4 linked regions of the Notamacropus eugenii genome follow. The protein of the gene in region 1 purifies or fractionates together with the protein of each later gene. This does not show direct contact. Links are inferred from orthologs where the notes say so. Each region holds a gene or a part of one and is shown in the gene's direction. Other genes may lie near its edges. The genes, in order: OTUD5, SERBP1, ZGPAT and RUVBL1.

What was found.
Region 2: the proteins of OTUD5 (region 1) and SERBP1 purify together in Homo sapiens (affinity purification with mass spectrometry, with the first as the bait; 3 studies listed by BioGRID). This does not show direct contact. The link is inferred for Notamacropus eugenii from reciprocal best matches to the Homo sapiens genes OTUD5 and SERBP1.
Region 3: the proteins of OTUD5 (region 1) and ZGPAT purify together in Homo sapiens (affinity purification with mass spectrometry; 3 studies listed by BioGRID, with this or other methods). This does not show direct contact. The link is inferred for Notamacropus eugenii from reciprocal best matches to the Homo sapiens genes OTUD5 and ZGPAT.
Region 4: the proteins of OTUD5 (region 1) and RUVBL1 purify together in Homo sapiens (affinity purification with mass spectrometry, with the first as the bait; 3 studies listed by BioGRID). This does not show direct contact. The link is inferred for Notamacropus eugenii from reciprocal best matches to the Homo sapiens genes OTUD5 and RUVBL1.

Annotation. Positions count from the first base shown.
Region 1 is NC_092879.1:102,138,441-102,146,103, reverse strand, and holds the start of OTUD5 (OTU domain-containing protein 5), read left to right. Parts: upstream 1-4,621; 5' UTR 4,622-4,753; coding exon 4,754-5,338; intron 5,339-7,663. Other genes in the region: A-type voltage-gated potassium channel KCND1, read left to right, coding at 297-543, 654-752, 1,026-1,291, 1,601-1,862. UniProt on the Homo sapiens protein: Deubiquitinating enzyme that functions as a negative regulator of the innate immune system. Has peptidase activity towards 'Lys-48'- and 'Lys-63'-linked polyubiquitin chains. Can also cleave 'Lys-11'-linked ubiquitin chains (in vitro).
Region 2 is NC_092873.1:527,951,542-527,959,614, reverse strand, and holds the start of SERBP1 (SERPINE1 mRNA-binding protein 1), read left to right. Parts: upstream 1-5,001; 5' UTR 5,002-5,171; coding exon 5,172-5,535; intron 5,536-6,331; coding exon 6,332-6,482; intron 6,483-6,601; coding exon 6,602-6,745; intron 6,746-6,848; coding exon 6,849-6,944; intron 6,945-7,423; coding exon 7,424-7,543; intron 7,544-8,073. UniProt on the Homo sapiens protein: Ribosome-binding protein that promotes ribosome hibernation, a process during which ribosomes are stabilized in an inactive state and preserved from proteasomal degradation.
Region 3 is NC_092872.1:496,789,267-496,796,744, reverse strand, and holds the start of ZGPAT (zinc finger CCCH-type with G patch domain-containing protein), read left to right. Parts: upstream 1-4,626; intron 4,627-4,903; 5' UTR 4,904-4,968; intron 4,969-5,333; 5' UTR 5,334-5,443; coding exon 5,444-6,021; intron 6,022-7,075; coding exon 7,076-7,209; intron 7,210-7,478. Other genes in the region: ARFRP1 (ADP-ribosylation factor-related protein 1), read right to left, coding at 1-2, 860-942, 1,254-1,341, 2,008-2,101, 4,337-4,548. UniProt on the Homo sapiens protein: Transcription repressor that specifically binds the 5'-GGAG[GA]A[GA]A-3' consensus sequence. Represses transcription by recruiting the chromatin multiprotein complex NuRD to target promoters.
Region 4 is NC_092874.1:426,434,318-426,441,486, forward strand, and holds the start of RUVBL1 (ruvB-like 1), read left to right. Parts: upstream 1-4,160; 5' UTR 4,161-4,310; coding exon 4,311-4,451; intron 4,452-6,431; coding exon 6,432-6,518; intron 6,519-7,169. UniProt on the Homo sapiens protein: Possesses single-stranded DNA-stimulated ATPase and ATP-dependent DNA helicase (3' to 5') activity; hexamerization is thought to be critical for ATP hydrolysis and adjacent subunits in the ring-like structure contribute to the ATPase activity.

The DNA of each region.
Region 1 (7,663 bases):
GTATCTTTGAGTCACATAGGAACTTAGGGGTAGACAACATGGCATCCACACCCCTTGTTATAATGAGTCTCAGAGACCAAAGGTCCTGCCTTTGGTACTTCCCACTCTGTAAAATGACTGCCTTGCACCTAGATATCACAAATGGCCTTTTCCACTCCAATCCCCACCTCGAGAGGGCACTGGGTCTCCCATCTCCATTCCACAGCCCCCCCTCCCCCCATCTGTTCCTGCACACATTCAGGTTTGGGATTAGGGCTGAAGGGAGCCCAAATCCAGCATTGGGTGTGTGCCCGCAGGTATGGGGACATGGTGCCCAGCACAATTGCGGGAAAAATCTTTGGCTCCATCTGCTCGCTCAGCGGGGTGCTGGTCATCGCCCTGCCGGTGCCTGTCATTGTCTCCAACTTCAGCCGAATCTACCATCAGAACCAGCGTGCCGACAAGCGCCGGGCACAGCAGAAGGTGCGGCTGGCAAGAATCCGGATGGCCAAGAGTGGGACCACGACAGCCTTCCTTCAGTACAAGCGCAGCAGGGGCCTGGAGGTGGGGTGCCGCCCTGGGCACAGGGCTCTGAAAGCTGGCCAGGGGAGGGGGCAAGGAATAGGGCTTTGCTGCTGAGGTGGCTCACCTGATGCTCTGCCTGTGCGCCCTAGGACCAAGATGGGGCCGAACAGCCAGCACTGAGCACACGAAGCCGCTCAGCTTTTGAACAGCAGCACCATCATCTTTTGCACTGTCTGGAGAAGACCACAGTGAGATCCTTCTCTCTCTGTCTCCCTGCTGACCCCTTCCCATTGCCCAAAAGCCATCTCTGGAATCCTGAGTCCTTTCTTTGTGCCCTGCTCAGGCTCTTGGCCTCCCTGTCTGTGCTCCCTCCTCCTTTGGGTCCTGCCTGCCATTGCTTGTTCCCCTAAGGCTCTAAATACCCCCTGATGCTAACTCTCCTCTCTCTCTCTCTCTCTCTCTCTCTCTCTCTCTCTCTCTCTCTCTCTCTCTCTCTCTCTACGTCTCTTCTCTCCCCCCAGTCACATGAGTTCACAGATGAGTCTACCTTCAGTGAAGCACTGGGAGTCATTTCCCTGGGTGGCCGCACCAGCCGCAGCACCTCTGTGTCTTCCCAGGCTGTCATGGGAACCAGCGCTCGGACTAGCAGTCTGATCTCTTCCTGCTGCCCCCGACGGACCAAGCAGCGCCGGGCCATTCGCTTGGCCAACTCCACTGCCTCTGTCAGCCGAGGCAGTATGCAGGAGCTGGACACTCTCGCTGGGCACCATAGCCCAGGACCCCAGAGGTAATGTGGCCTCCATTACTTGGGGCCAGGAAGCGAAGATTTGGGTAGGGGGCCCTAGGTGCCACAGGTGCAGATAAAGCTGAATGCAATCCCACTAAGATAAGATTTTAGAGGGCAGCGTGCAATGGCGCGCCCTTTCACAGCCCAGGGACTCAAGACATTTACCCTGGAAGGAATCTCAGTTATCATTCAGTCTCCCATTTTATGGATAAGGAAATTGAGGCTTATGGGTTAGACTGCCTCACCCAAGGTGGTGGATCTTGGATCCTACCCCAAGACCCTCTCTCCCTTTCTGCTTCCATCCACCAGCCGAGCCAGCCTCAATGCCAAGACTCATGACAGCCTGACTCTGAATTGTGACAGTCAGGACCTGGTGGCAGCCATCATCAGCATCCCCACCCCCCCAGCAAACACCCCAGATGAGAGCCAACCACATTCGCCTGCCAGTGACAGTGGGAAGGGGCCTGGAAGACCCTCTGGGGGCAGCAGCAGTAACAGGGGGGCTGTCCAAAACTCCAGCCTGGGCCCTTCTGATATTCCTCACAACACTGTCAAAATCTCCTCCCTGTGATTGAGGGGGCTTCACCCCTCCTTTGGGGCATTGGTTCCCCACCTTGGGTGTCTCCCTGTTTTGTTTTCAAAGCCATATTTGGATGGGGCAAAGTGTGAGGAAGATGAGGGGCACACTGGGGGGGGGGGCGGCATCTCAGCCCCTGTGATCTCCACTGCCCCTGAACAGGACAATCTTGTAGTGCAATGGAGTATGTATGTGTGTGTGTGGGGGGGGGAGGAATGGAGAACCAAAGCTCCGCTCGTGTCCCCTCTTCTCTGTTCTCTAGAGACATGGACATCAGTAGCTGGGAAGCCAGAGGGTGAGTCCTATTCTTGGGACCTGTCACAGACCAGGAAAGGAACCTGGTTGTCAGGGTGGATTCAGGTCTTGGCCTATATGTTCTCCATCCTTTGTCTCTGGGATCTTTCACCTGCTGAAATGGTGGCAGGTGGACCCAGGTATCTTGGGAGGGGCAAGTGTGCTTGCTTAGCACATCTGGAGGATATCACCATGTAGGCTAGCAGAGGCTGACTGAGAGATGTGGTCTCTGTCTCCTGCCCCTCCTCCTCAGCTGTCTCCTCAGAGCTTCACCCTGGGCAATGTTACCAGACTGCTGTGTCCTTGGTGAATGTCCAGAGAGATTTCCCTTCTCCATCTGGAGGACAGGTGACTGAGTGGGACAGTGAGGGGGAGTCTCCCCCTACCTCCTCATCTCATCCTCAGTATGGAGAGAAGAGCAGAAAGGCACCTGCAGGGGCTCAGCTCCCAAACATCTGACCTTCTGGTGACCCCCCCAATGACATAGGAAGCAATAGCTCTCAGCCTAGCTGTTTGATGCCCTTGAGATCCAGCTGAATTCTTGTGAGATAACTAAGGGCAGCAGGCCAGGAGGAGGAGGTGCTTTAGGGTCTCTCCTCAGTAGCTGCAGAGCTCTTAGAGCCTGCCTCAGTTTCCCTTCTAGATCCCCTCCATCAGCTGGGCTTCTCTGCCTGCCTACCTGCTTGCCTCTCTCCTGGCACGTCTCAGGTTTTCCCACCTGCCCCATGCTTGAAGCCAGTGCCCTACTGGATGCAGTTTAAACCAATAAAAACCCACACAACAAACCAAAGGAGACCTTGGCCCACAAGTGGGGGATGGGGGGGTGGGGGTTGGAGCAATACGGGGTGCTGAACTGGAGGTGACATCAGAAAGGACTTGAGTTGGGTTCCACCAACCACCTTCTTTCCCAATCTGGGTCTCAACTTGGTTATCTGGGAGATGGGTCTGATCTCTGCTTCCCCTGCCATTCCAGCGTGGGCTACCTAGCCTGCCCCAGGGGATGGTGGGAAAGCACGAACCGAAATGTCCTTGCTGATCCACCCAGAGAGAGGTCTGGGAGGCGGAGCCAACTGTAGAAAGTTCGGCGAGGAAATGAGGGTGGTTTTGTGAACCCCCAGAGGTGCCTGAGCTTTTCAAGGGGGACGCGGAGGGAAGTTCTGGCCACCAAAGCAAAGTCAAGGCTGACTGGCACCCAAGATGGGGTAGGCGCCCAGTCCGACCTGAAGGGAGCGGGTATTAACATCATGGTGGCCGAGGCAGCATTTCGGGTGGGGAGGGGATATGGACCAAGAGAAAAGCCCGCAGTCCCCGGAGTGCGAGGTGGGGCGGGGGTGAGGACGGGCCAGGTCGCAGGACAGAGACCTCGGCTACCAGTAGGCGGCAGCATGGACCGCGGAATGCCAAAGATGGCTGTGCGCGCATGGGATGGAGGAAGGGGAACGGGCGGAGGCGGGGCGAGTTTCTCGTTTGACTGACAGCCAAGGTTGAGCAATGAGAGGGTTAGGAGAGCCGAATGCCCCGGCCCGCGCGTCTCGGCGGGGGAGATTGGCGGGGAGGGGGGAAAGGGGAGGAGGGCTGGGGTGATTGACAGGAGGGGAAGGGCGGCGGCATGGGGCGGAAGTGACGGCGCGGGGGCTCGTAGGAGACGCGCTGTGGCAAGTCGCCAAACGAGGAGGAGCAGGCGCCCGTGGAGCGATTGCTCTTTCCTCCCACTGCGCCTTCTCTCAGGCCCTCGGCCGGGGAAGTCGCAAAGGCCTTCGTGCCCTCCGCCGCTCTCCGAGACGGGAACACGAGGTCCGGACTTAGCTCACCCCTCCGGGTACACTGCCCGCCATCCTCGACGGGGGCGGGGCAGAGTGGAAAGGGAGGGGGCCAGGCTCTCCTCCGCGGTCAAGTGCGTCTGCGCGCCCCGCGGGGGCTGGCCCGCCGCGTCGGGGTGTTTGTTTTTGTCAGTCACCTGGTGGAGCGGGGCGGGGCCTGCAGCCCCGGGAGTCGGGAGTGAGAGGAAGAGGAAAAGCCAGCGGCGGTTGCGGGGCTCGCGCCCCGCCCCCCTCCTTAGCCTCTTGTGCCGACCAGTCGGTCCCCGACTCGCGCGCTCAGCTCGCGGCACGCAGCGGACAGGGCCTTACCCTTGCCAGGGTTCGCTCCCCGGGTAGCCCCCTCCCCTTGGGCTCGCCTCGCCTCGCCTCTGCCCCCTCCCCATCCGGGGCCTGCGCCGGGCCCCGCCCCTCCTCATCCGGGTCCTAGGGCCCTCGCTCCGCCCCTTCTCCCTTCAGTTTCCCGGGGTCCGCCGGCTCTTTTCCGGCCTCCGCTCGCCTGGCCTTGCCCTTCCTTTCCTTTCCTTCCCTTCCGTGCCCTGCCTTTCCCGCCGCCGCCTCCAGTTCCTTCCGCTCCCGGCCCAGGCAGCGGCGGCCAGGAAGAGGAGGGGGCCCGTTCGCCGCTACAGCTCCGCGGGGCCCGTCGGCTCCCCAGCCCCCGGCCCCCGGCCCGGCCTGGCTCCGGCCCGGCCCCGGCGGCCCTGAGGGGGCGTCGGAGCCGGAGCCGCTGAGCCGCAAGCTCCGGCCCAGGCCGAGCGTGCGCCCGCCGGCGCCATGACCATCCTCCCCAAGAAGAAGCCGCCGCCGCCGCCCGGGCCGCCGCCCGCCGGCTCGGACGCCGACTCCGGCCCGGACGGCGAGCCTGGCGGCGGGCCCGGCGGCCCGGGCGGCGGTGGACCCGGCGGCCCGGGCGGTGGCGAGGGCGTTCCGGGCGCCGGGCCGTCTTCGGGCGGCCGCTCGCGTGCCTCGCCGCCGCCGCTGGCGCGATGGGCCTCGGGCGCGGGCTCCGCGGCTTCCCGGCCGCAGGCCTCGCCGCCGCCCCCGGGCCCCGGGGGGCCGGCCTCAGCCGGGGCCGCCGACGCTCTCGGCCTGGGGCTGGGCCTGGGCGCCGTGGGCGGCCCCGGCGGCGGCCCCGGCGGCGGCTGCTGCTCGGGCCCGGGCCACAGCAAGAGGCGGCGGCAGCAGGCAGGCCCCTGCGGCAACCCCGGCGGGCCTCCGGGCGGTGGCGTCGGCGGCGTGGGCTCGGGCGCGGGGGGCAGCCCCGAGCGGGACGAAGGCGGCGCGGGCTACAACAGCGAGGACGAGTACGACACGGCGGCGGCCCGGGTGGAGGCTATGGACCCGGCCACGGTGGAGCAGGTATGGCCCGGGGAGGGGCCCCCGCGTCTTCGATCGTTTGCCCGGCCCTCTCCTCTTTGTTCGATCCGGTGGGGAGTTTATGAGGCCCAAGCGCCCCCCCCCCCGCCCCCCCCCACCGTCTCGGTCCTGCTTCCGGGTCTTGGCTCGCTCCATCTTTTCTTCTCGGGCCACCTCTGCTCCCTTCTTACGCCATGCCTGCCCCCCCCCCCCCACCTCGGGCCTTTTCGGATTCCTTGTTACTTCCCTGCGCTCCCCTTTCCCCCCGCTTTTCGAATTTTACCCTTTCTTTCCTAGGCCCCAGCCCTCTGATTTTTAATCCCTTACCCCCCCATTCTAGAGTCTCCTGGCTTTTCTGATTCCGTCCTTGCCCCCCTGCTCTTATTCATTCTTGGTTCCCCCCCCAGCTTTTTTCACCCTTTGCCCTATCCTGCCCTCACCCCATTTTCTTGATCCCCAGCCCCCCGTTGCTGCTTTTCTTGCCTCTTTCCTTTGCCCCCCCCTTGATTTTCTTACTCCTTGGGGCATGCCCCCCAATCCCTGGAGACCCCCCTGCTTTTATTCTATTTCTGATCCCCCCACCCTCGCTTTTCTTACCCCATCTTTCCTTCTCGTTCCCCCATGGAGCCCTGTTTCTGCTTTCTTTTGTAATTTTTCTCCCCAAAAGTGCTCCTCTTTTCTTCCTCTTTCTCCAGGACCTTTTCCTGCCTACCTACCTTCCCCTATTCCTTCCTGGTTCCCCTTCTCTTCCCATGATTCTTCAGGCCAAGCAGGGAAAGGGGAGAATGGTGGCTGGAGGCTACTGGGTCTCTGTAGTCCTTCTGGACCTCAGCGATGGGCATAGGTGCTGTCCTGTATCTTCTCCACTATTTTGGAGGCTCCTGAGGACAGGACTGGCTGGCAGAACTCTGTTCTTCCATTTCCAGTGCACTCCTTGTCTGAGAGATGAGGATGAAGCAGATGTCAGGGTGACCTGGCTCCGAGTCCTGTTAGTGCCTCTGTGGCCTTGCCCAGCTCTTTAAAGTCTCCAGAATTCTTAGCTAGTACTCCTGGAGAAACCTTCCATAGTCCGGGAGCTGCTTTGAGTCTCTCCTGCCAAGAACCCAGACTTAAGGAAGCCTGACTCCCATGCATATGGATGGCCAGGCCTTCAGGTGAACATTTGCATGCTGGAGAAGGCCATGGGGGGCCCCAAGGACCTGCTGACCAGCAAGTTGGGGCAACCCTAAAATGCGCACCTTCAGCACAGCTGGCCAAGATATCTTGGGAGAGAGCTGGTGCATCTCCTTTCTGTTGGGGGACTGAGAAGGGGGAGGGGGGGACTAAGGTGTTTAAGAAGAGAGAGGCTCCACTGGGAGTGCCCTGAGGCCCAGGATTTCTACTTGTCAGCTGAATTTGAGGAAACTTTTCTTTCCTGAGCTACTTCTTTGGGGGAACGGAGGAGTTGGGGCCCCCTTTTAGTTGTAACTGGTCCAGTGCACAGAGCACAAGACCCAAAAAACTAGAATCCAGCATCAGATGATTCAGGCAAGACTTCTTTTGTGCTGGACTTGTGTCCGTCTCAGTTTCTCTGTAAAATGGGGATGATAATAATATCTACCTCCTAGAATGATTCTGAAGATCCTCTGGTCTCCAGAGCGCTTGGTACTTAGTAGGTGCTTTGTAACTGCTTGCTCCTTCCCTGTGGGGGCTTTTGTCCTGGGTCAGGACTGGGCCCAAGTTTGCTGCCTGGCCTTTGGGTGTGGGGTGGCAGAGGGGTACAAGGATGTAAGAAGAAAGGCAGGAGAGGAGCTCCAGGGACTAAGAGGAACCATTTGCCTTGTTGGAGAAGCACCCCTCCCCAACTTGGATTCTCTGTTCCATTCTCCCTCCCTGAGCAAGTTCTGGTCACCTAGCAAGGACTGCTTCCGGCCTCCCGAGTGGGCTTCTCACCTTCACTGCCTGCAAGGCCACTGTGGGCAAAGGAAAGGGGGGGGGGGGGCAAGTACCCTGAAGCTAACTGCTCTTGGTGCCCTTCGCCCACGTCCAGGCCTGGCCCAGAGCCCAACCAACGACTTCTGGGGACACTGGACTTTTTTTTTTCTTGTGCCAGATACCAGGTGTCAGCAGGGTGTAGGGGGAGGGCGATGCTTCACACCGGCCAGTGTACATGTCTGTGCCCCCTACCCTCTCACTTCACCAAAAGTACCCCCACGGGGGAAAGAAGTTGGCTTGCCCACTTGGACTGCTGTGCCCAGGGCCTACATGGCTCTCCTCTTTGCTAAGCAGCAATGCAGGGCCAAGACACTTGTCTGTGGCTGTCATACCACATGCCCAGCACCCACACAC
Region 2 (8,073 bases), on another chromosome or scaffold:
AAGGTTTTATATTGGGTCCTGGAGGCAATGGGGGCCACTGAAGTTTATCATTCACTCTCTTTTCCTCCAAGACATTCTGTGTGCTTTTCTGCCAGATTTATTTCTTTCCTTACCTGTGGATCTGGCCATCTGCCTCCTCTGGGCCAAAATTATTTTGGGCTCCCTACTGCCAACAGAGCAGAGTTCAGACGCCTTTCTTTAGCATCAATCAATCAACAAGCATTCATTAGACTCCTACTGGCAAACTAGGCTTCCCTGGGCATCTGAGGACAACAATGAAATTACCTCTACTCAAGAGGTGCTTTTTTTCCTAATGGAGGAGACAAATAAATATGTAATAAAAATACACAACAAACACAGAGCCTTCCACTACACAGTGTGAGTCACCTTTGCCCCCCATTAACTCTAGTTAAATTGTCCATTTTCTGGGTCTTGACATAAGCCTTGTTCCTTTCCAAGTCTGGGCCTTTTCTCAGCTTGTCCTCTGTGCCTGGCATGGCCTCCCTTGACTTTGCCAGTCTTACCTCCTCCAGGAAGACTGCTCCTCTCGGTCAATAAGGGACTTCACCGGATCTGAAAAGCAGTGTAGCCTCCAATTCCAGTAGACCCTGGTTCAAGTCGACCCTCTGACTGGCACTAGCTGGGTGCTTGATCAAAGTGAATAAAGTACTGGACTTGGATCCAGATGATGAGTGCTCCGATTCTGCCTCACACACTTCCTAGCTCTGGGACAGTGGGGTTAATTACAACTTCTAGAGTTAGTAGGGGTTCATGTGAACATGAAATGAGATAACAAGGATGTTTGCTATCACTATGATCTCATTAGTAGACAGAGCTTCTGCCTAGGAAAATCTCAGGTCTGGTTTTTACAGCAGTTCAGTAGCATACTTGATTATTAGGCAGAGACTTGATCTTTTCTAAAGTTGGAAGGGTCTCCCCTGGCACTGTTGGTGTTTAAGAGACATTTGTTGACACCCCCCCCCCCCCCACTAGTAGACTGTAAATGTCCTGAGGATGGGCATTTGTTTTTCTCTTGTCTGTGCCACCTACCCCCTTTTCTCCACACCTGGTGTGCTTTTTGGAGTGGATAGATTCTAGGTTTTGGGAATGAGTGTGGAAATTCCCAGAGCCTTTTCCTGTGAGTTGTTTCCAGGATGGGAAAGTACCCCCCATCTGTGTCTCTTTTCCGTTGGTGTAGGATCTAGAGGAGCAGAGATGATTGGATGGGAGAAAAGAGAAGAGGGCAGATTGGCAGTCATTTGGGGGACAGTTGGAGGCAGGGGGCTGGATCGTTGTTGATTTTGTAGTCTGAGAGTTGCCTGGCCTCTCTTACTTTGTGAAAGCTCTGTGCTAAGCCCTGAGGATGGGCATCTTAGCCGAGTCAGCTCCTGTTCTCCAGGACCTTACAATGTAATGCGGAAAGAGCACACAGAAAAGCTAGATGACAAGGACAAGGGAGCTGGGGACAAGCCTGAAATGGCTATACAGAACACCCTATGTTCTACACAAAGATCCTGTGTATACATACAGCTGTATATATTTGCATAGTCTTCCTTATTAAACTAGAATGTGAGTTCCTGGAGGGCAGGCAACGAGGTTTTCCCTTTTTCTTGGTATCCTCCAGACTTAACTTTGCAAGTTTTTAATAAATGCTTGTGAACTGACTGGCTAAGACAAAATAACAGAAACACTGGTCGGTTAGCCAAGGAGGAGCGTTCTCTGGGAGAACTCGGATTGCTCTCCTGGCCTGTGGTGATACTTGGATCTCATGGAAGCTAGAAAATGACAAGGCTAGGGTAATGCCTTGTCTCTACAGCAGGAGAGTGAATGAATGAATGAGTGAGTGAGTGAGTGAATGAGTGAGTGAGTGAGTGAAGGAGTGAAGGAATGAGTGAGTGAGTGAATGAGTGAGTGAATGAATGAGTGAGTGAGTGAAGGAGTGAATGAATGAGTGAATGAGTGAGTGAAGGAGTGAATGAGTGCATGAAGGAGTGAATGAGTGAGTGAGTGAAGGAATGAGTGAGTGAGTGAATGAGTGGAGTGAGTGAAGGAGTGAATGAGTGAGTGAAGGAGTGAGTGAAGGAGTGAAGGAGTGAAGGAGTGAGTGAAGGAGTGAATGAGTGAGTGAATGAATGAGTGAAGGAGTGAATGAATGAGTGAAGGAGTGAATGAATGAGTGAAGGAGTGAGTGAAGGAGTGAATGAGTGAATGAATGAGTGAGTGAATGAGTGGAGTGAGTGAAGGAGTGAATGAGTGAGTGAAGGAGTGAGTGAAGGAGTGAAGGAGTGAGTGAAGGAGTGAATGAGTGAGTGAATGAATGAGTGAAGGAGTGAATGAATGAGTGAATGAGTGAGTGAATGAATGAGTGAGTGAATGAATGAGTGAAGGAGTGAAGGAGTGAATGAGTGAATGAATGAGTGAGTGAATGAGTGGAGTGAGTGAAGGAGTGAATGAGTGAAGGAGTGAGTGAAGGAGTGAATGAGTGAGTGAATGAATGAGTGAAGGAGTGAGTGAAGGAGTGAGTGAATGAATGAGTGAATGAATGAATGAGTGAAGGAGTGAGTGAAGGAGTGAGTGAAGGAATGAGTGAGTGAATGAGTGAGTGAATGAGTGAGTGAATGAATGAGTCAAGAAGTGAGTGAGTGAAGGAGTGAATGAGTGAAGGAGTGAATGAGTGAGTGAAGGAGTGAGTGAAGGAGTGAATGAGTGAGTGAATGAATGAATGAGTGAAGGAGTGAGTGAAGGAGTGAGTGAAGGAGTGAGTGAATGAATGAGTGAATGAATGAATGAGTGAAGGAGTGAGTGAAGGAGTGAGTGAAGGAATGAGTGAGTGAATGAGTGAGTGAATGAGTGAGTGAATGAATGAGTCAAGAAGTGAGTGAGTGAAGGAGTGAATGAGTGAAGGAGTGAATGAGTGAGTGAAGGAGTGAGTGAAGGAGTGAATGAGTGAGTGAATGAATGAATGAGTGAAGGAGTGAGTGAAGGAGTGAGTGAGTGAATGAGTGAAGGAGTGAGTGAAGGAGTGAGTGAAGGAATGAGTGAGTGAATGAGTGAGTGAATGAGTGAGTGAATGAATGAGTCAAGAAGTGAGTGAGTGAAGGAGTGAGTGAGTGAAGGAGTGAATGAGTGAGTGAATGAATGAGTGAAGGAGTGAATGAATGAGTGAAGGAGTGAATGAATGAGTGAATGAGTGAGTGAATGAATGAGTGAGTGAATGAGTGAGTGAGTGAATGAATGAGTGAAGGAGTGAAGGAGTGAATGAGTGAATGAATGAGTGAGTGAATGAGTGGAGTGAGTGAAGGAGTGAATGAGTGAAGGAGTGAGTGAAGGAGTGAATGAGTGAGTGAATGAATGAGTGAAGGAGTGAGTGAATGAATGAGTGAAGGAGTGAGTGAATGAATGAATGAGTGAAGGAGTGAGTGAAGGAGTGAGTGAGTGAATGAGTGAAGGAGTGAGTGAAGGAGTGAGTGAAGGAATGAGTGAGTGAATGAGTGAGTGAATGAATGAGTCAAGAAGTGAGTGAAGGAGTGAATGAGTGAGTGAATGAATGAGTGAAGGAGTGAGTGAGTGAAGGAGTGAGTGAAGGAGTGAGTGAAGGAGTGAATGAGTGAGTGAATGAATGAGTGAAGGAGTGAGTGAAGGAGTGAGTGAATGAATGAGTGAGTGAGTGAAGGAGTGAATGAGTGAGTGAATGAATGAGTGAAGGAGTGAGTGAGTGAAGGAGTGAATGAGTGAAGGAGTGAGTGAAGGAGTGAGTGAAGGAGTGAGCGAAGGAGTGAGCGAATGAATGAGTGAAGGAGTGAATGAATGAATGAGTGAAGGAGTGAGTGAATGAATGAATGAGTGAAGGAGTGAGTGAAGGAGTGAGTGAGTGAATGAGTGAAGGAGTGAGTGAAGGAGTGAGTGAAGGAATGAGTGAGTGAATGAGTGAGTGAATGAATGAGTCAAGAAGTGAGTGAGTGAAGGAGTGAATGAGTGAGTGAATGAATGAGTGAAGGAGTGAGTGAGTGAAGGAGTGAGTGAAGGAGTGAGTGAAGGAGTGAATGAGTGAGTGAATGAATGAGTGAAGGAGTGAGTGAAGGAGTGAGTGAATGAATGAGTGAGTGAGTGAAGGAGTGAATGAGTGAGTGAATGAATGAGTGAAGGAGTGAGTGAAGGAGTGAGTGAATGAATGAGTGAGTGAGTGAAGGAGTGAATGAGTGAGTGAATGAATGAGTGAAGGAGTGAGTGAGTGAAGGAGTGAGTGAAGGAGTGAGTGAAGGAGTGAGCGAAGACAGGCCCCCCCAGAAGGGTCACGGCTGCCCCTGGCCCAGCCCTTCGCCCCAAGGCGGACCCTAGGGGCTCTCCAGCCGCCGCGGCACCCCCCCCCCTTAGCAGACCCCGACGCTTGGGGCGCACACAGGGGGAGCTTGGAGGAGTTGGGGGCGTGGCAGGCGCCCCTCCCCAGGCCCCCTGTAGGCGGGGACGCTCCGGGGGGCGTCTTGGGGGCTGGGGGGCGGACCCAGCCCGGCAGGGGGGCAGGAGGAGCCTGGCCGTGGCGGTCACAGCGGGGAGGGGGGGGGGGGCACCCCCGGCGGGGCTGGCGGGGGGCCCGGCCGGCTGAAGCCCCCCGAGGGCAGGCCGCTCTCCGCCTTCTCGGCATGCAGGGGCGGCTAATAAATGCACACCGCCTCCTGCCCACCGCGGGACGCTCGGAAAACCGGCGCTGCCTCGCGCGGCCTCAGTCTCCCGGCCTGGAGAAGAGGAGTAGGAGTGGGCGGGCCCCACGCCGGAGGGAGTGACCTTGACCGTGCTCGCCACGTGCGGCCGTCCTCGCCCGCCAGGGGGGCGGGGGCGCGGGGCCGGAGGCGGCAGGTGCTCGGGCTCGGGTCTCCTCCCCCGCCTCCCCGCCGCGCTCCGCCCTCCCCGCGCCGCTTCGCGCCCGCCGGCGCGCGCCGCCCCCTGGGAGTTGTAGTCCGTGCTGGCGCAAGCTCGGGCGGAGCGGCGCCGGCCGCCTGCCCTTCCCGGCGTGCCCCGCGGCGCCGGCGGCTCCCGGATGTGTGCGCGGCGCCGGAAGAGAAGGCGGTCCCTCTCTCGGCCCGGCCATCTTGTGGGGACGAGCTGAAGCAGGCGCCGTCGGCTCGGCGCGGCCCGCTGCAATCCGTGGAGGAACGCGCCGCCGGGGCCCCATCATGCCCGGCCACCTGCAGGAAGGCTTCGGCTGCGTCGTCACCAACCGGTTCGACCAGCTATTTGACGACGAATCGGACCCCTTCGAGGTGCTGAAGGCGGCCGAGAACAAGAAGAAGGAAGGCGGCGGCGGCGGGGGCGGCGGCGGGCCCGGGCCCAAGAGCGCGGCGCAGGCCGCGGCCCAGGCCGGCGCGGGCGGCGGGGGCGCGCCCGGGAAGCCGCTGCGCAAGGAGTCGCAGAAGGACCGCAAGAACCCGCTGCCGCCGCCCGCGCCGCCCAGCGCCGCCGCCTCCGGCCCGGCCGCCGCCACCGCGGCCGACAAGAAGGACGAGGCCCCGCCGCCGCCCGCCGCGCTCAAGAAAGAAGGTGCGGGCCGGGGAACCGCGGGGGGGAGGGGGGGCCCACGTGCGGCCCGGGAGGGGGAGGGAGCAGGGAGCCACGTGCGGCCCAGCCGGGAAACTGAGGCCGCGGCACGTGGCGAGCGGGGCGGGGGGCCGGGCCGGGCCCAGCGCGCCGGGGAGAGCGGAACCGAACCGGCCTCCGGGCCTTGCCGGGGGTAGCTGTGGGCATTTATCCGGGGTCGGTTCGGAACCGGCCCCTTGGGGACGGAGGGGGTGCGCCTTCGGGGGGCTTGCGGGGTTCGTGTCGGGGGCGGGAGCCTTTGTTCGTTCGGGGGTTTGGCCCCGGGCGCCCTCGTGCCCACCCTTCCTGCAGCTCCGCCCGGGCCCCCCTACTCCCAGAACGGGGGGCGCGTGCGGGCCACCCCCGAATCCCGGAGTGAAAGCCTTGGCGCTCCCGTCAGGGAGGCTCGGTGTCCGCGATGTGCCGGGCGCTCCTGGCCCGCGGGCATCGTGAATCCACAGGTCCCGTGTGCTTGTGGGGCGTCCTGCTGTGTAGACGGCGCCCGGGTCCTGTGTAGACGGCAGGGGGCGGGTCCCTGGGCCTCGCCGGACGTTTGTAGCTTGTTAGAGCGCGGCTCTGGGGGTGGCTTTCCGGGGGCTGCTGTTGGGGTCCGGCGCTGGCATGGGCGCGTTAGCCGGGCCTAAGCCGGGCCGGTCCGTCCGTGTGCGGGGCCGGCCGCTCTGCCCGCCTGGGCCGTCCCCGTCAGGAACCCCCGGCCGGGCTTCCCTACCGCCGCCCACCTCCGCGCTCTGCCCCGCAGGGATCCGGCGCGTCGGCCGCAGGCCGGACCAGCAGCTGCCGGGCGAGGGCAAGCCGATGGAGCGGAGGCTGGAGCGGCGGCCGCCCCGCGAGCGGCGCTTCGAGAAGGCGGCGGAGGACAAGGGCGAGGGCGCCGAGTTCTCGGTGGACAAGTGAGTGCGCGGGGCCTGCCGGGGTGGGGTGGGTGGGGGGCGGCCGGCCCCTGGGGGGCGCGGCTGGGAGCGGGGCAGACCCCGCGGGCCGACCCCAAGCTGCCGCTCTCGCCCCCCAGGCCCGTGCTGGAGCGGCCCGTGCGGGGGCGCGGCGGCCCCGGGGGCAGAGGCCGGGGAGGCCGGGGCCGCGGCCTGGGCAGAGGGGACGGCTTCGACGCCCGCGGGAAGAGAGAGTTCGACCGGCACAGCGGGAGCGACAGATCGTAAGTGGGGCCGCTGTGGGTGCGGGGGCTGCGGGGGGCTGCGGGAGCCCTGGGCTGCGCTGCGGCCGCGGCCCGCCACTGCCGTGTTAACTCAGGCGGGCAGTTCTTTCTCCCATTCGCATTTCAGCGGGCTGAAGCACGAGGACAAGCGCGGCGGCGGCGGCTCGCACAACTGGGGCACGGTCAAGGACGAGCTGACGTGAGTGTCCCCTCGGGGCCCCCCTCCCCTCGGGGCCCCCCTCCGCGCGGCCGCTCTGGGGGGGGGGCCTCGGGAAACCCTGGGGGGTCGTTGGGCGCTGGAGGAAACTGAGGCAGGCGCAGGGGAAGCCGGGTGCATGGGGCAGGATTTGAACTCGCACCTTTGCGGTGTCGGTCCTGTCCTTAGTAAGGTACGGTTTATCCGGAATTGGGATGTCGTGGAATGCTCGATGATCCGAGCTTTCCTTCCTTTCCTGGTATTTACGAACACGCGGACGGTTCTGGTCCCGTAGCAGCTGAGCTGGAGTATCTGAGTCTTGTTCGCTGCCGAGGATGAATGCTTTGATGCTCTTGCTGGAAGCTCGGGAATGTTTTGGGGTGGGGGGAGATAGTTGATGTTTTTATTTGGGGAGAGGGGCCGCACAACTGGGGAACGGATAAAGAACCAGGCGCCTTTCTTGTCTCTCTTTCTCTCCTTAGAGGGGGCCCCCAATACATTCAGAAACCAATGTCTTATAATTGCAGTGACTTGGAGCAAACCACTGTGACCGAGGAGACACCTGAGGGAGAAGAGCATCCAGTGGCTGACACAGAAAATAAGTGAGTTATCCTCTTATTCTCCCCCATCCCAAGCCACGGCCTCTCCCGAGCACAGGGACTCTGAATGGAGGTGGTGTTGGGTCTGATCAGAGAAGGCATTTTGATTGAAAGTGGAATAGTGATCATGAGGAAGAGAAGAGGAAAAGTTGACCAATTAATTGGAGATCTGGTGAGTCTCCTAGGTGACATTTTCTGATGGATGTGTCGGGGTAGAATTGGGGGAAGTTGTGGTAGCGCGTGGCACCTGTTTAGTCTTTTAATGCAGCCCCCACGAGGGACGAAGGGTCCGCTATATTTCCCTTTGACACTGAAATGGGTTTCACCCCATTTATGTGTTCAGTAAATCCCTGGATTCTTGTGTCTGAATGATACAGATTTCCTTTTAGATCAGGAACATAATTCTGAGAGGCCAGGTAGCTAGCTAGTGTTTCGTAACAGTTCTTCTTCTCCAGCCCGCAAGCCCTGAAAGTACATGAGCATGCACAGTCATTTTTTCCTGTCTAGTTTTAAGACAGAACGAAAGATTCTAT
Region 3 (7,478 bases), on another chromosome or scaffold:
TACTAGAATGAAAGCAGAAAGGTTAACATCCAGGAGCAGCTTCAGTATATTCAGAGCACATTGCAAAGATCAAAGAGAGAAGGAGAGAGGTGGCAAACTGCCGGCACAGGGCCCGATATAAACAGGATTTTCTAAATTACTGTGATTGTCAGTTTCGCTTATCTCAAGTGGAGATAATTCATGATATAAGAGAGTGGACAATGGGCAAAACTCCACGTTGGAAATGCTTTTCCTAGCTTAAAAGAAAATAATTCAAAAGGGCTTCTCATATATTGTTTTATTCTACTCCCTATGTGCCAACTGGTAGAAGTGTTGGGACACAGAAGTCCAAGATGCTCAATGCTTTGAAATGGGCCAAATACCCTAGTCTTGGCTAACAAAATAATGAGAAATCTTAATTGAATCTTTCCTTTGCAATCCAGTGTTGGTTGAAGCTGCCAAAAAAATGGTCTTTTTATCAGCCCAGGCAAAAGCTTCTCTTTTAGGGGAATAACCATTATTCTAAGTAGAACAGATTTTTTTTTTTTTTGCAGGACACTGATGTGCAGAAAACAGCTATTACTAAGTGTAGATTGGAAACTGGCATCTGGAAACTCCAGCTTCTAACTGCATGAACAAAAAAAAAATAGTATGTTTGAGCAGATAGATTTCTAGGAGTTATTTGTAAAGCTGCTTCCTATAAGAAGTCAAAATATTCATACTGTGAGGTTTTGAACAGTAAAATTACCAAAGAGCTATCTTTACCTAGCTCAGTATCTGGTTTGTGATGGGACTATCCTCAGGACCATAGAGTTTCTAAAAATTTTATGGAACTTAAGCATAAGGACAGGCCTGGAAAAAAAGAAAGTTCCTTTCTTACCTTATCCCAGAGAGACTGCAATTCCTCTTGTCCTCCTAAATCCCAGAACATAAGGCGAGCTTTGCCCACATCAATAGTACCAACTTCAAGGAAAGAAGAAGGAAGAAAAGAGAAATTAAAGGTAAAATACAAGATCCCAGTCACACAAACTTCATTTTCCCCAATCTCTCATCTGAAAGTAAAACAAAATAACTCCCCACTACTCCACAGAGTAGCAATCACTGAGATAAGGAAGGTATTCAGCTCTCAGAAATTCAGTTTCTTTCCTTTACCACATAAGAAGATCAATGAATAATCTGTTATTCCCTGGCTATCTCACCTAGGTCATCATGAGATATTGTCACACTATATCTATTTGCTTTCCTGATTCTGTAACCCCAAAAGATCCACTTACTATTCAGGCCCACTGTAGTGGTGATTTTGGATAAACTCATCCCTTTGTAGTTTCTGTTAAATCGGGTTTTCGTTTGCTCCAGGAAAGTCTAGGTAGATGGAAAAACAAACAAGAAGGTAAGTTTAAAATTGTCCAAAATGGAATGGGCTGCCTCAAGGGATAAGAGTTCTCTGTCACTGGAAATCTTCAAGTGGAGGTGAAATGATGCTTATTAGGGATTCTGTTGATGGGATTCATGATTTCAGAAAGGGCTAGATTAGAACAGCTGAGCTCATTTTTAGCTCCAAAAATCTGTTAGTTTCTACAATCCAGGAATATGCCATAGCTAGCTCCTACCAACTCTTGAAAAATGACATTTAAATTTTCAGTGTATTTACACCTCAGAAATGCTATAATAAAAGTGTGATTTATTGTCTTACTGATTGCCTGGGCTTAAGAAAATGATAAAGGAAATGTTAAGAATGCAGATTAAATATAAAATTGTGTTGTATGAACTTTTTTCACTTGAGACCCAGCTATTAAACACTTAACCAGTACACTCCAATTATCATAACTGTCTCAGAAAAACAGATCCAAAGATCACTCCTTCCCCTTTCTAAAATGCTCCTTTCTTACAATCACTTACAATAACCTTTTCTCAGACTTACAGCTGAGCTATCACATAATCAGTTGAAATTTTACTGAATGAAAAAAAAAAGTAGCAAAATAGATTTTACAAAAAGGAACTGAGGTAACCAGAAAAGAAACTACCTACCGTCTTTCCCGCATTGTCCAGCCCCAAGATTAGGATACAGTATTCATCTCTCCGGAACATGTACTTATAAAGCCCTGATAAGAGTGTATACATCCTGCTCCTGTAAAGTACAAGAAACCAGGAATTACTGGGGAATACTGCTGGGGAACTCTGTTCCTTACAGCATCTTCCTTGCTTCCTTCAATATAACAACAGTAATGATCGTAACAACAACAGATAAAACAATTGAGCCAGAAGGTCCAGGATCCTATTCTAGGCTCCTTTTGCTGTGTAATCTTGAGAAAAATCAACCTGTTTCCTCATTGGCAAAATGAGTATTATACCACAGACTTCTCATTTATTCCCTAGAAATTTTGTAAAGATTAGGTTCTGACTGAAAAACTTTAAGCTTTTGGGAAGATCAGTGATAACAATGTCATAATACTACTAGGCTTATCCCACTGCTCTTTCCATGTGACTGGAAAAGTTTCCCCAAAGACACTGGCATGTAACAGGGTGAGTTTCTGCTTTCTCTTTATACAGTGAGCTAGACTGAGTGCTTCTCAGCAGGCTAAATGGGCCTTTTAACTTCTCTCAACATAAGGGCCTACAGCTGAAAATATCCAAGGACCAAAGTGGCATAGCACAGCAACTCTTTTATGGGGGCCACTATCATTCACCTAGACAGAAACTTGTCCCTTTCTCTCTTGAGAAACACTATAACCCAGAGATTCTGGGCTTTTAAGGGTTATTTTAAAGGTTATGGGGAAAAAATTAGGGGCCTCATAAATTCCCATAACTTGTGCTCCATGGGTCAAACCAACACCTCCACCACAGCCAACAAAAACAAGACTAATCTTTCACTGAGGGAACCATCTCCTTTACTACTGACTTGAACTAACTAACAGATAAGGAGAAGAGTATTAGTTTTCAAATAATGGTTTGGAACACTAGGATAGGACAGACCTACTGGCTCAGCAGTAAGACAAGAGGGGTTCTATCAGTAGGCAGACCAACTGATCTGGACACCCACACAGGGACTCACTAGTTCTGATGTTAGCTCATAAACGAAAGTGGGGTGGGAGATAAGAATAGGACTTTATGGCTCAGAAAAAGGTCTTGGAATGGCTGAATAAGCTGTGGTAGGATTGTGATGGAATGGAGGGGGATGACTTCAGAAAAACGTGGGAAGACTTATATGAAGTGATGCAAAGTGAACAGAACCAGGAGAACAATGTACACAGTAACACAATATTGAGGCAGTTACTAGGCAGTGGATAGAAGGCTGGGCCTGGAGTCAGGAAGATCAGAGTTCAAATCCAGCCCTAGACATTTACTAGCTCTGCAACCCTAGACATGTCAACCTGACCCTGTTCTCCTCAGTTTCTTTATCTGTAAAATGAGGTGGAGAAGGAAATGGCAAACCACTTCGGTATCTTTAACAAGAACCTCAAATGAGGACAAGAAGGGCCAGACACAGCTGAAAAGTCTGAACAACAAATATAAACAGTAGCTCTACAGTAATAATGATCAACTGTGAAAGACTCAGCTACTCTGATCAATACAATGAATCAAGACATTTTCAAAGGATTTGTGATGAAAAATGCCATCCCTCTCCAGAAAGAGAGAACTAAGGAACTGAGTGAACATTAGAAACATACTTTTTTTCACTTTCTTTATTTTTCTTTCCTTTTTTTCTTGGGTAGGGGTGGGGGTTTGGGCAAGGAAAAGAAAGAGTGGCTGAGAGCGATGTATTCCTATTAGCTCAGATGGAGCAAGGCTCTCGAAAGCAGGGGCACGTAACGCCACGGTCTCCAAAATGGGGAGCGAGAGGGCAGTGCAGGAACACAGGTTCAGAAGGGGAGTGGGAGGGCAAGATGAACCCACGACTCGGAAGTGGGAGGAGGGGGCGGTGTAGTCTAGTAGTGGAAGGGGGCCCGGAGCGTCACCTAGGAAACTGGGTCCTGTGGCCCAGACGCGGCCTGGGCCAGGAGGGAGGGGACGTGCCTGAGTTTCAGAGCGACCCATGCGCTTCCTCTTCGCCTCCAGGGAGAGGCCGGCTCCGGCCAAAGGGCCCTCCCCACAGAGGGAACTCTCTGGTCCGGCCTCAAACTCCTAAGTCAGCGGCTCGGGAACTTCCACAACGAACGTGGAGCCCGTGAGGAAGCAACAGGGAACGGGCTGCGGGGCTCCTACCTGCGGCCTAGCGCCTCAGAGACGGAGCCGGAACGACGGCTACTACAGCCACTAGGGCCGAACGAGACCCTCTCGGGCCACTACCTCTACCGCCAGCAAGAGTCGACCTCTCTCGCTGACCCTGGCGCTATGACTTCTGGGACATAGAGTCCACACCGAACTCTTGGAGAAAGGAGAGGCCTTTTGGAAACTACGAATCCCAGCAGACACCGGAAGTCCGCGGGCGGTAGGGTCGTCAGCTCCAATGACGCTTGCACTTCCGGTGGACGGCAGAAGCTGGGGAGGGAGTTCCGGTGGGTTCGTGGCGACCCAGTGAGGGAATCGAGGAGCTGTTGTGGGCCTCTCTAGCCAGAACAAGTACGGCATCTATGGTTGTCTTGCCCGAGCGGCGGTTTCATGGCGGCCGTGGAGGTGGCGGCGGCGGCTGCTTCCCAGGCCTGAGGGGTGAGAGGCTGAAGAGACACTGAGCTTACTGAGGGAATAGGGCCCGAAAAAACCTGGGCAGGGAGGACGGGGCTCGGGAGCAGGACTAGAGATGAAGAAACGATTCCTCCACCGAGGGTCTGTGGGCGAGGTCTCTGCGGAGGACGCCCAAGGGCTAGGCCTCATCTCCCCTCCCCCACCACCCTGCTCCCACCGCCGCCCCTTCCTCCTCCCCCTTCCCGTCTTCTTCGTTATAGTCTTCCCCTCTCCTCCACCTTGTTCTCTTCTCTGCCCTTAGGAGCTTACGTTGTACTGGTGGGAAATAAGATCTAGGCAGCTAAGTCAGTACACAATTTGTACAAGGTAAATAATTTCTCCGCCCCCCACCGGCTCTCCTCTCCTCCCTTCCCTCTTCCACCCTCCCCACGGCCTCATCCAGTCCCTCTTCCTTCTTCCCCATGGCCTTTGTCTCTTCCTCCTCCCACTAACTTTGACATCCCATCTTCCCTTCAGACCTGTCCGACTACATGACAGCTTTAAGTTTAGGAACCTTAATTTTAAAGGACTGCATGGTTCCTGCCCTCGCGAGTGGCCTTGCTCTGGCGTAGCTGTCCTTTGACAGGAGTGATGATGCCTCCCCTAGCCTGAGGGGGGATGGGGCCCAAACGCCAGGACTTCTGTTGTGATTAAGCATCTGTTTGAAATGGCCTTATTCCTCATCTCTGCAGATCGTGATTCCTAAAGGTGCTTGTGGAACAGCTGCCTCCTAGCCAGCGTTTTGTAGGATGTAGGGATACTCAAGTAGATCATCAGAAGAGCTACAGACTGCCTCTGCAGGATGGATGAAAATAGTGTGGAAGCTTCCATCCAGACCTACCATGTCCAACTGCAGCAAGTGGAGCTGGCCCTGGGGACCGGCTTGGACCCTACTGAAAAAGCTGACTTGCTTCAGCTGCAGGCTGACTTAAAGCAGCTCATCGAGCTAACTGAGTCCAGTCTTGTGTCCATCAAGAAGAGTAAGCTCCTGGCCACACTGGACCCAAGCCTTGGCCTAATTGAGAGCGCAGTAAGGGATGAAGCTGAGTATTTGGCTTTCCAGAATGCCATTCGTGAAGTAACAGATTCTGAGACTCAAGGTGCTGAAACTACAACCTCTCCTGAAAGAGGAGAAACGGAGCCTGACAGATCTGGGCATGAAGAGGAGGAAGAGGGAGAGTTGAGTGGGATGAAGGTGAATGCTCCCTACTACAGTTCCTGGGGCACTCTGGAATACCATAATGCCATGATTGTGGGGACAGAGCAGTCAGAGGATGGCACAGCAGGGGTTCGTGTGCTCTATCTCTACCCGACTCATAAGTCCCTAAAGCCCTGTCCCTTCTTCCTGGAGGGAAAATGCCGATTCAAAGAGAACTGCAGGTAATTCTCTCATGCCATTCTGTCTTTACAGGTACCAGAAGACACTCAGTCAACTGAGGACAACAGCCTCAGCTTGAAATGGTTGGGAGTGATTGGTTTAGTTTTTAGTCATTTCTCATGCTGCCAAGAGGTGCATGAGGCATTCTCAGTATTGTTTTCTTGCCCTCATTAGTACAATATAGGGCATGACAGTGTTTAGAAATTAGGGTTTGGAGTTTTTTTGGTGGAGGGGGTGCATTTTGGGAGGCGGGTTCTTGGACCATAGTTTGATCCTAGGCACATCTCCCCTTCTCCACTCCTTGGTTTACTCCTCTGTTAAATAGGACTATACTTCTTTGAGTGCTTTGAGTTCTCCTGTATCGCACATGTGTGAAGCAACCTTGCAAAATGCTGTAGCTACTCACCCACAGTGAGTACCCTATGTGTCCAGTGAGATGCAGTGGTGGGCTTTACTCCCATGTGTCTTGGGGAGGGACAGGGACTGGGTGGAATAGGGAAAGCTGAAGGGTATTATTTGGTTTTGGTTTTGTTCTTGTTTGCAAGGTTTATGGAGAGGCATATTTCTATGTTGGCCTTAAGCTGACTGGTGGGACTCTTCTTCCTTGATTTTACATATCCTTTTTTGTTGAAAAAGAATTCAGCCCAACTAAATGAGCAGTGGTGTGAAAAATATGATAAAAATATATAATCAGAGACTTGCACGCTTGATTTTGTGTGGAATAACCTGAGCGAGCTCTTACTTTAACTGTACATTAGGAACGTGGGACCTAACTGGTTATCATAAAGGAAGTGTGGAGAAACCACTGAGCTAGTAATCCACTCCCAGAGAGTTGAGAGTTTACTGCAAAAACCTATCCCACCAAAAATAGTAAAAATAAAACAGCTCTCAAACTCTCCATTATTTTTGAATGGGTTACCTCTTTTTTGGCATCTATCTGATTCTCTGCATTTGAGTACAAGTTCTGACAGGTACTGGATTTGCTTCTTCTTGGTACCTGATGTTAGTGCCATTTATGGGTGGGAATATTTGATGTGCTTAACCTAATCTCTGCAGGTTCTCCCATGGGCAAGTAGTTGCTGTGGATGAGCTTCGTCCCTTTCAGGAGCCAGACCTGAGTGCCCTGCACACAGGCTCAGCCTGTCTAGCTAAGTACGATGATGGAATTTGGTATCCAGCGAGGATCACAGGTAAGCTATTAAGACAGGGAAGACTGAGGGTTTCCTTAATCAGTGTCTTGAAATGATTGCCTCATGCCAGTGATTTTGAAAGCTAGATCTGATATCAGATTTTTTTTTGAGATTCAGATAAAATCAGTTAGTTGTTAAAATTTGATGTCTTATTTTCATCATATATCAGGTACTGAAATGGAATGGTCTTTGTTTCCTTTCTTCCTCTATTCATTTCACTGTACTTCTTCTGTGACAATATTCATGGAAACAGTTATTGAAAAGGTCTT
Region 4 (7,169 bases), on another chromosome or scaffold:
ATTGCCTCAGTGGCATGGTATGAAGATATAGATCACACAAAAAATGTTGAAAGCTCACAAATCAGAAGCCTAAGTCCCCAGGACAGCAGGTAGAAGTCCAGGTTAGACATGGTGTCCAGAACAAAGGATCATGGTATGAAAACAGCTGGAGAATATCAGCATGGGGGTCTGGGCAAAGCTAGAGTATCAATAGTCAAGTCCATGCTTATAGATAGTGAAATACTTTGTGATTCTTAGCATTCACCGTCCCCTTTTTTTTCACTTCACAAAGTTGAACCCAAAGGCCATTTTACATTTTTCCTTGTTTCCTGAGTGTCCTTGACTAAAAATTTCATCACCTGGTAGCTCTCCTTCTGGTGATGAGCCTCTCCATACTTAACCAGTGCAGTCCTGGGAAATCAAAAGCAGTCATAGATTTAGGACTGGAAGGGACTTAGAGGTCATCTAGTCCAATTGCCTTAGGTCACACAGCTAGTATTGATCAGAGGTGGAGACTGAAGCCTTGCCTTCCTGACTTGTCAGGGCTGCAATCTTCAAGACTTTACAATCTATGGGCAGAGCCTTCACGAACTCAGGGTCACTTCCATGTCAAAGAGTGATGGATCAAAAGACTTTTGAGTCTGAGTCTTATAAAAACAAATGGAATTTTAATGTTTGCTGTACCATCATTGCAAACTGAGCAGAGGGGCAGTTACTTCTGAATTTTTTTTTTAAACAGTGAAACATTAGCCTAGGGTCATCATGCTAAGAGAAGCAGGAAGTTAGGTTTGGGGGAGAAGGTCAAAAGGTGAAGGGCATTCATACACATTCCCTTATTCTAATAATATGTCACTTGACAACTGTAGACACCAGCAAGCACGTACAATTGAAATCTGAAGATGTATGTGAACCTGGGCAATGCCTTTCTATAGTAAACGTTTAGTCTAGGACAAACAACTGCCCATCCTCCAGCCCCCACCTCAGCTATCACATAATGTCAGCAGGGAGCAGGCTGAGAAGGGCAGAGGAAACCCTCAGAAATGAACTGATTAAGACTGAGGACTGAACTATTCAGAATGGCAGGGATTATTTTTCTGTTTATATCAGGACTGCCAAATATTGGATTACGCTCCTAGCATCTTCCTTTTGAAAAAGGAAAACAAAGACTCAAAGGCCCCTTCAGTTCAGTCTAGCAACAAGGTATGAGACCAACGTGAATTCTCAATGCTTTCTTAAATTAGCTTGTCTTGCCCCTAAAGCAAGGGTTCTTAACCTTGTTTGTGCCATGGGTCCCTTTGGCAGTCTGTTGAAACCTGGAGACTAATAATAATATTATAGCTAGCAAGTATATTGTGTTTTAAGGTTTGTAGAGCACTTTACATATATCACCTCATTTGAGAATTTTTTTGATGCATAAAATACATAGGATTACATAGGAAACAAATTATATTGAAAGATAATCATCAAAATATTTTTTACAAATAAAGTTCACAAACCTCAGTTTCAGAGCCCATGGCCTACAATTTTATCAAACCTCCCAAAAAGTTTAAAACCCAAGTGTAGGTATATTCACCCACAGGCTCATGTCTCAGGCAGACCCTCATTCATTAAGAGGTATCCCTGGAGGAGTTCCAGCCAGCATGATTGTTTGCTCAGCCCTTTTGGATTGGCAGACATGAGGTATACGTGGTCTCCAGTGTGGTGGTTGTTTTACTGCATACGATTAAAACTTCAGTCTGGAGGAAACAGAGAATCCAGAACACAGGGAGATGGATCAGGAGGAAGAGATGTGAATGACAGTGATGGTGTTTTGAAGGCCACAGTGTAATGGGAGCACACCTACTAATCGCTGGATGACAAGATGGACCTGAACAGGAAGCAGTGGGAAGGGGAGGGGAGGAGTATCCATCGCACCGTGAAACCTAAAAACTGTCATCATTGGGGTGCAGCAGCAAGAGTTTTACCCTAGGGTGCCAAAATTGAGAGTGCTAATGGTACTATTTCGGGGTTGCATCCTCCCCACCAGTGGCTACTCTTCAAGGGAGTTCCCCACCTTGGTGTCATCTCCTCAGTGATGGCAGCTGTCCTGGTACATGCTTGCCCCCATAATCCTGTCCCTTCCTCTCCTCCCAAGCAGTGATCAGCCTCTCTCCCACTTACAGGGAACATCCCCAGCTTTGCTTTCTGACTCTGGCTCCCTCTTTCCCCAGGAACAAAATTTCCTACTTAGTGCTCTTTCAGGAAGTATATGGATTGACAATTGCCACTGATACCCCTCCATTCGTCTGCTTGGGTAGTTCTAATTAGCTTGGGTAGCTATAATTAACTGTTTAAAGTAGAGATTCTGGGATAGAATTGATAGAACACTGGGCTTGGAGTCAGGAAGACTCATCTTTGTGAGTTCAAATCCAGCCTCAGACATTAGCTCTGGTGACCCTGGGCAAATCACTTAACCTTGTTTGCCTGCTTTTTCATTTGTCAAATCAACTGGAAAAGGAAATGGCAAGTCACTCTAGTTATCTTTGCCAAAAAACCCCAAACGGAGTCATAAAGAATAGGACGTGACTGAAAATGAACAACAAAATGGTACCTTAGAAACACAAAGACGCAATTGGGGGCAGCTAGTGGTCCTGTGTGGCTGAAAGGTCTAGTGGGTAGAACAGTAGTGTGAAATAAGCACAGAAAGGTAGATTGAGGCCAGATTGTCTGGGGCATGTGGAGGGCTCATGTGTAAAGTGAGCTGGGGAAGGAAATGGCAAACCACTCTGATATCTCTGCCAAGAAAACCCTAAATAGAGTCATGAAGAATCAGACACAACTGAACTCACAACACATACACTATATATTATATATACATACACATGTATACATATATATGTATATGCATGTAGACATACTTCTTTTGAGCCTAAAGAAAATCCTTCAGGTATTATTAGCCTTATTTTACAGAAACTGAGGGTCTATCAATCCATCAATCAACAAGTATTTACTATGTGCCAGACATTATGGAAAAACCCAAGGGCAGAAGGAGAGTAGAGGTGGGAAAATAAGTGTATTCTTATGAGTATGTAAGTTATGACTCAACAACAGTAATAATATATACACATATACACACGTATTACAAGGCCATTATGGGAGCGCACTAGGAGTCAGAGGATCAGAAGATGCTTTATGTAGAGGCTGCCACTTGAGTCAAGTCATGAAGGAAACCAGTCAGTAGCAGAGAAGAGGGAGGGCATTCCAGGCATGAGGCTGGGTTCCTCCTTTGTTTATGAAGAAGACCAAGCTGGCAGAGAAACTATGACGTGACTGGCACCTGACTTTGTTTTGAGTGAGGCAGGGCTGTGCAGGTCACCAGCCTGACTTCTCCTCCAGAGCCGTCTGGATCCAATGACCAGATAGTCATCAGGATGACTGGAGATGACCCAGGATGAGGCAGTTGGGGTTAAGGGACTTGCGCAGGGTCACACAGCTTTTAAGTGCCTGAAGCAGGACTCAGGGTAGCTCTTTCTGGCTCTGTGTCCGCCTCATCGAAGCCTAGGCTGTGCAGAAAAAACCAGAGAAAAGAGAAATATTCCGGGCCACGCCACGCAATGCCCCGGCTCGTCCCCGATGCTCAGCCAGAACGCTCCATTCAAGCCGGGGGTCTCTTTCTCTCCTTGTCTCCCTCCTGACCAAACCTGTCGCCGCCCTCCTCTCTGTACCCAGGCCACCCGATGCCCGCCTGCCCATTGGTTTGTAAAACCCCCAGCGGGTCCTGCTTGAGGCCAGCAGCGCCGCAGGCTCTGCGCACGGTCCCGCCTCGGCCATCTCCCGCCTCCAGGCCGGGAATGCTGGCCCCCTCCCCTTCGCCGCCAGGATGCCTTCCAAGCTCCCCGGAGCTGCGCCTGCTCCCCTTCCCACACTCCCCAGTATCGGTTCTCGGCGGCTAAAGCCCGAACGCACCTCTGTACGCACACAGAGCCAGGCTCTGGTCCACGTGCGGCCCAGAGGCCACACCCCCAGGCCGGGCTGCCGCCAGGAAGCGCACATTCCCGGCAGTCGCAGTGGGGGAAAGCTACCTTAGTAACACAGACGGAAGTGGATGGGCGGGCCCTCTTGGGCGCGGATGCCGGACGCGGACGCCGCCCAATGGGCAGCGGCGCCGCCGCCGGTGCGCCCAATGGGCGGCGGCGGGGGGCGGGCGCTGGCCGGACGCCCTGGTAACGGCCGCGTGGTAGCGGAGAGGGCCCGGGGCTCGGAGCTCGGCCGCCGCCGTCGCCGCTCGCCCGCCTCCCGGCCCGCTCCCCCGCAGCCGCCGCAGCCCCGCCGGCCCCGTCCTCAGCGGCAAGATGAAGATCGAGGAAGTGAAAAGCACCACGAAGACGCAGCGCATCGCCTCGCACAGCCACGTGAAGGGGCTGGGGCTGGACGAGAGCGGCCTGGCCAAGCAGGCGGCCTCGGGGCTGGTGGGGCAGGAGAACGCCCGCGAGGTAGGGGCCGCGCCGGGCGTCGGGCGTCGGGCCTGCGGGCGGGGCGCCGACGGGGAGAGGAGGCTGGAGAGGGCAGGGGGCAGCGGCACGGACGGCCTCACCCCCACCCGGGGGAGGATAGGCCGGGGCCGTTATTGGCCCCATTTTACAGCCGAGGAAACTGAGGCTGGCAGGGGTGAAGGGACTGGCGCGCCGTCGTCGGGCTGGCTAGTAAGCGTCTGAAGCAGGATGTGAACTTGGGCCTTTCAGGCTCGTGGTGTGCTCCACCAGCTGCCTGCAGGGCACGAACAGACCCGCCGAGGGATGACGACCAGCGCTAAGCTTTACCGAAGGCGAGCTCCCCGTGCCAGGCACCGTGCCACACACTTGGCAGTGGATTCGATCCCCCAGACCACCCTGAACTCGTGGTGTCGCCCTGAGTGCCGAATAGCGAGCACAGCTTAGATAGGCCAGCTAGGGTAGGGAGATGAATCGTAATTTTCACAAATAAATTGGTCTTTAAAAAGGTATTGTAGGCAAGGGGAACGCGAGCCTTTTCCAGATGAGAAAACTGAGCCCCCCAGAGAACTGGCCCAAAGCAGACCTGGACCTCAGGGTTCCTGCCTCCACTGCCTGCCCCACCCCTTACTACCCTCAGCTAAGGAAAGCGTGGATGGACCTCCAACAGAAGGTCCATGGATTTGGCAGCAGTTAACCAAACAGGCTGACTGCTAGAGGGTTCTCGGATATTCCATACATGGGCTGCTCCATCGAAGATAAAGCAGCCCCATGCCCTTGAGTACAGGGCTTCATTCATCCCTGTTGCCTCATCTTCAATGGGTGACCTCCCTTGAAGGAGTTCTCCAGCTGAATGAGATTGTAAAACCTGTGGGTTGAGACTAATGAATTTCTTGCCCTTGTGTCCAGTGCCTGTCATTGTATCTACCTTGGAGTAGGTGCTTTAATAAGTCGTGTTGAAAGGAGGAGGTATTACGTGGTTTCTAACCATGAAAACGCTGTAAACTGTTATTGTTTATCATACCCTGGGCTTCAGCCGAGCTGTGGTTTCATCCACATGGGACACTCCTTTCACGAGGTCGTATTCTGACTTCTCCATGCCTTAATGAGGAGACAGTCTCCTTGAGTTGTTGTACCCCATTTCCCTCCTACCCCCCAACCCATTTTATGACCTTGTTCCTTCTGGTAATGAGTCTTTCTGAACTTAGTCTGGACTTTGCAGTATAAACATTAGTCCTTCTGTCACTGGATGTGTTCTAGTAGCCCTTTGCTGCTTGGGTAGGACAGAGTATGGGTGCTGCTTTAGTCAAACAGAGACTTGTTAAAGACCAAGATGTCCCACGGCCTCCTGGGCCAGTTGTCCTGATCAGTATCTGGCTGCTGGGTCCAGATGGCTCTGGCCAAGTGAGGCTGGTGACTCTGCACAGCCCCTCCCTCACTGTAATCCAGTTCACTTGCATGTCATGGCGTATTCCCAATGTCATGGTCTTCTTTGAGAACAAAGGACACCCACACAGCAGCAGCAAGGACAGAGCAGTGAGGCATAGTGGGAGAAGGGCTAGATTTGGACTGGAGGACCATGCTGATTCCCACCTCAACCAGTAACTGCCTTTGTGACCCCATCAGCAAATCCCCTAACTTCTCTGGGCCCAACAGAAAGTGAGGTGATTCAGGGCATCCCTTCTTCAGGTTCATCTGCCTCTCAAGCTGATGATCCTGCGAGCTGTCAGGTCTTCAGGATCCCAGGATGGTCTTAGTGTCCCAGTGAGGAATGTCACATGAAGAGGACTTCAGAGCCATGTTATTTATTATAGTGAACATCGATTATTACCTTGTTGAAATTCAACCACTAGTTAAGATTGCTGCATGATAGATTGTCTGATAAAATTACTGTGTATCTCTTCTTCTTGAGCTACAACCGGAACTTCTTATGAAATGTTTGCATATTGATGTTATTATTTCTTTTCCTTTGGTGGTGTCTAGGCATGTGGTGTGATAGTGGAATTAATCAAAAGCAAGAAAATGGCTGGGAGAGCTGTTTTGTTGGCAGGACCTCCTGGAACTGGCAAGGTATCTTTTTTCTCATTTTTCTAATCTATCCAGAGAGTGGTCTCAATGTCTAAACCAAACTGAACTTATGTCTTAACTATGCTTTGTCTTCCCAGGTTGATTAGGTTTCTTTAAAAGGACCACTGTGAAGTCACATAGTTGGGTATCTTAACACTCAGACTCTCCTGGCATACTTCCAGGGAAGAGGGATTGAGGTCCTCGGAGGAGGTTCATTGTCTGAAACTTGTCTTCTATATCTTATTCCTTCTCCTTGCAGAAAAATACTTTTTGCTCTGTGGCTTCTGAGAACTTATTATTGCCCATTTGAAGGGTATGAGATTAATTCAGTGAGTACTGATTGAGAACTCTCTGCATGCTTGGCTCTGGGAGTGCCATGGGAATGAGCTTCGGTTGGTGACAGGGGCCGTCCCAGCAAGGACCTTCAAACCTGGGAAGAAGAGCGACACGCAAGAAAAGAGCAGTTTTTAAAATCACATAATTATTAACTTTACACGATTGGTCGTAATGTGGAATTGAGTTCAGAAGAGGGTGAGCTGGTTATGAGGGCTGGTTATGTCATCTGAAATCCTCTAAACATTAGACATTGCTTTTCACCAGACGTGGAGAACAGAGACTTTGGGTGCTCTGCGGTAACTGGGAATCCTGGCCCAC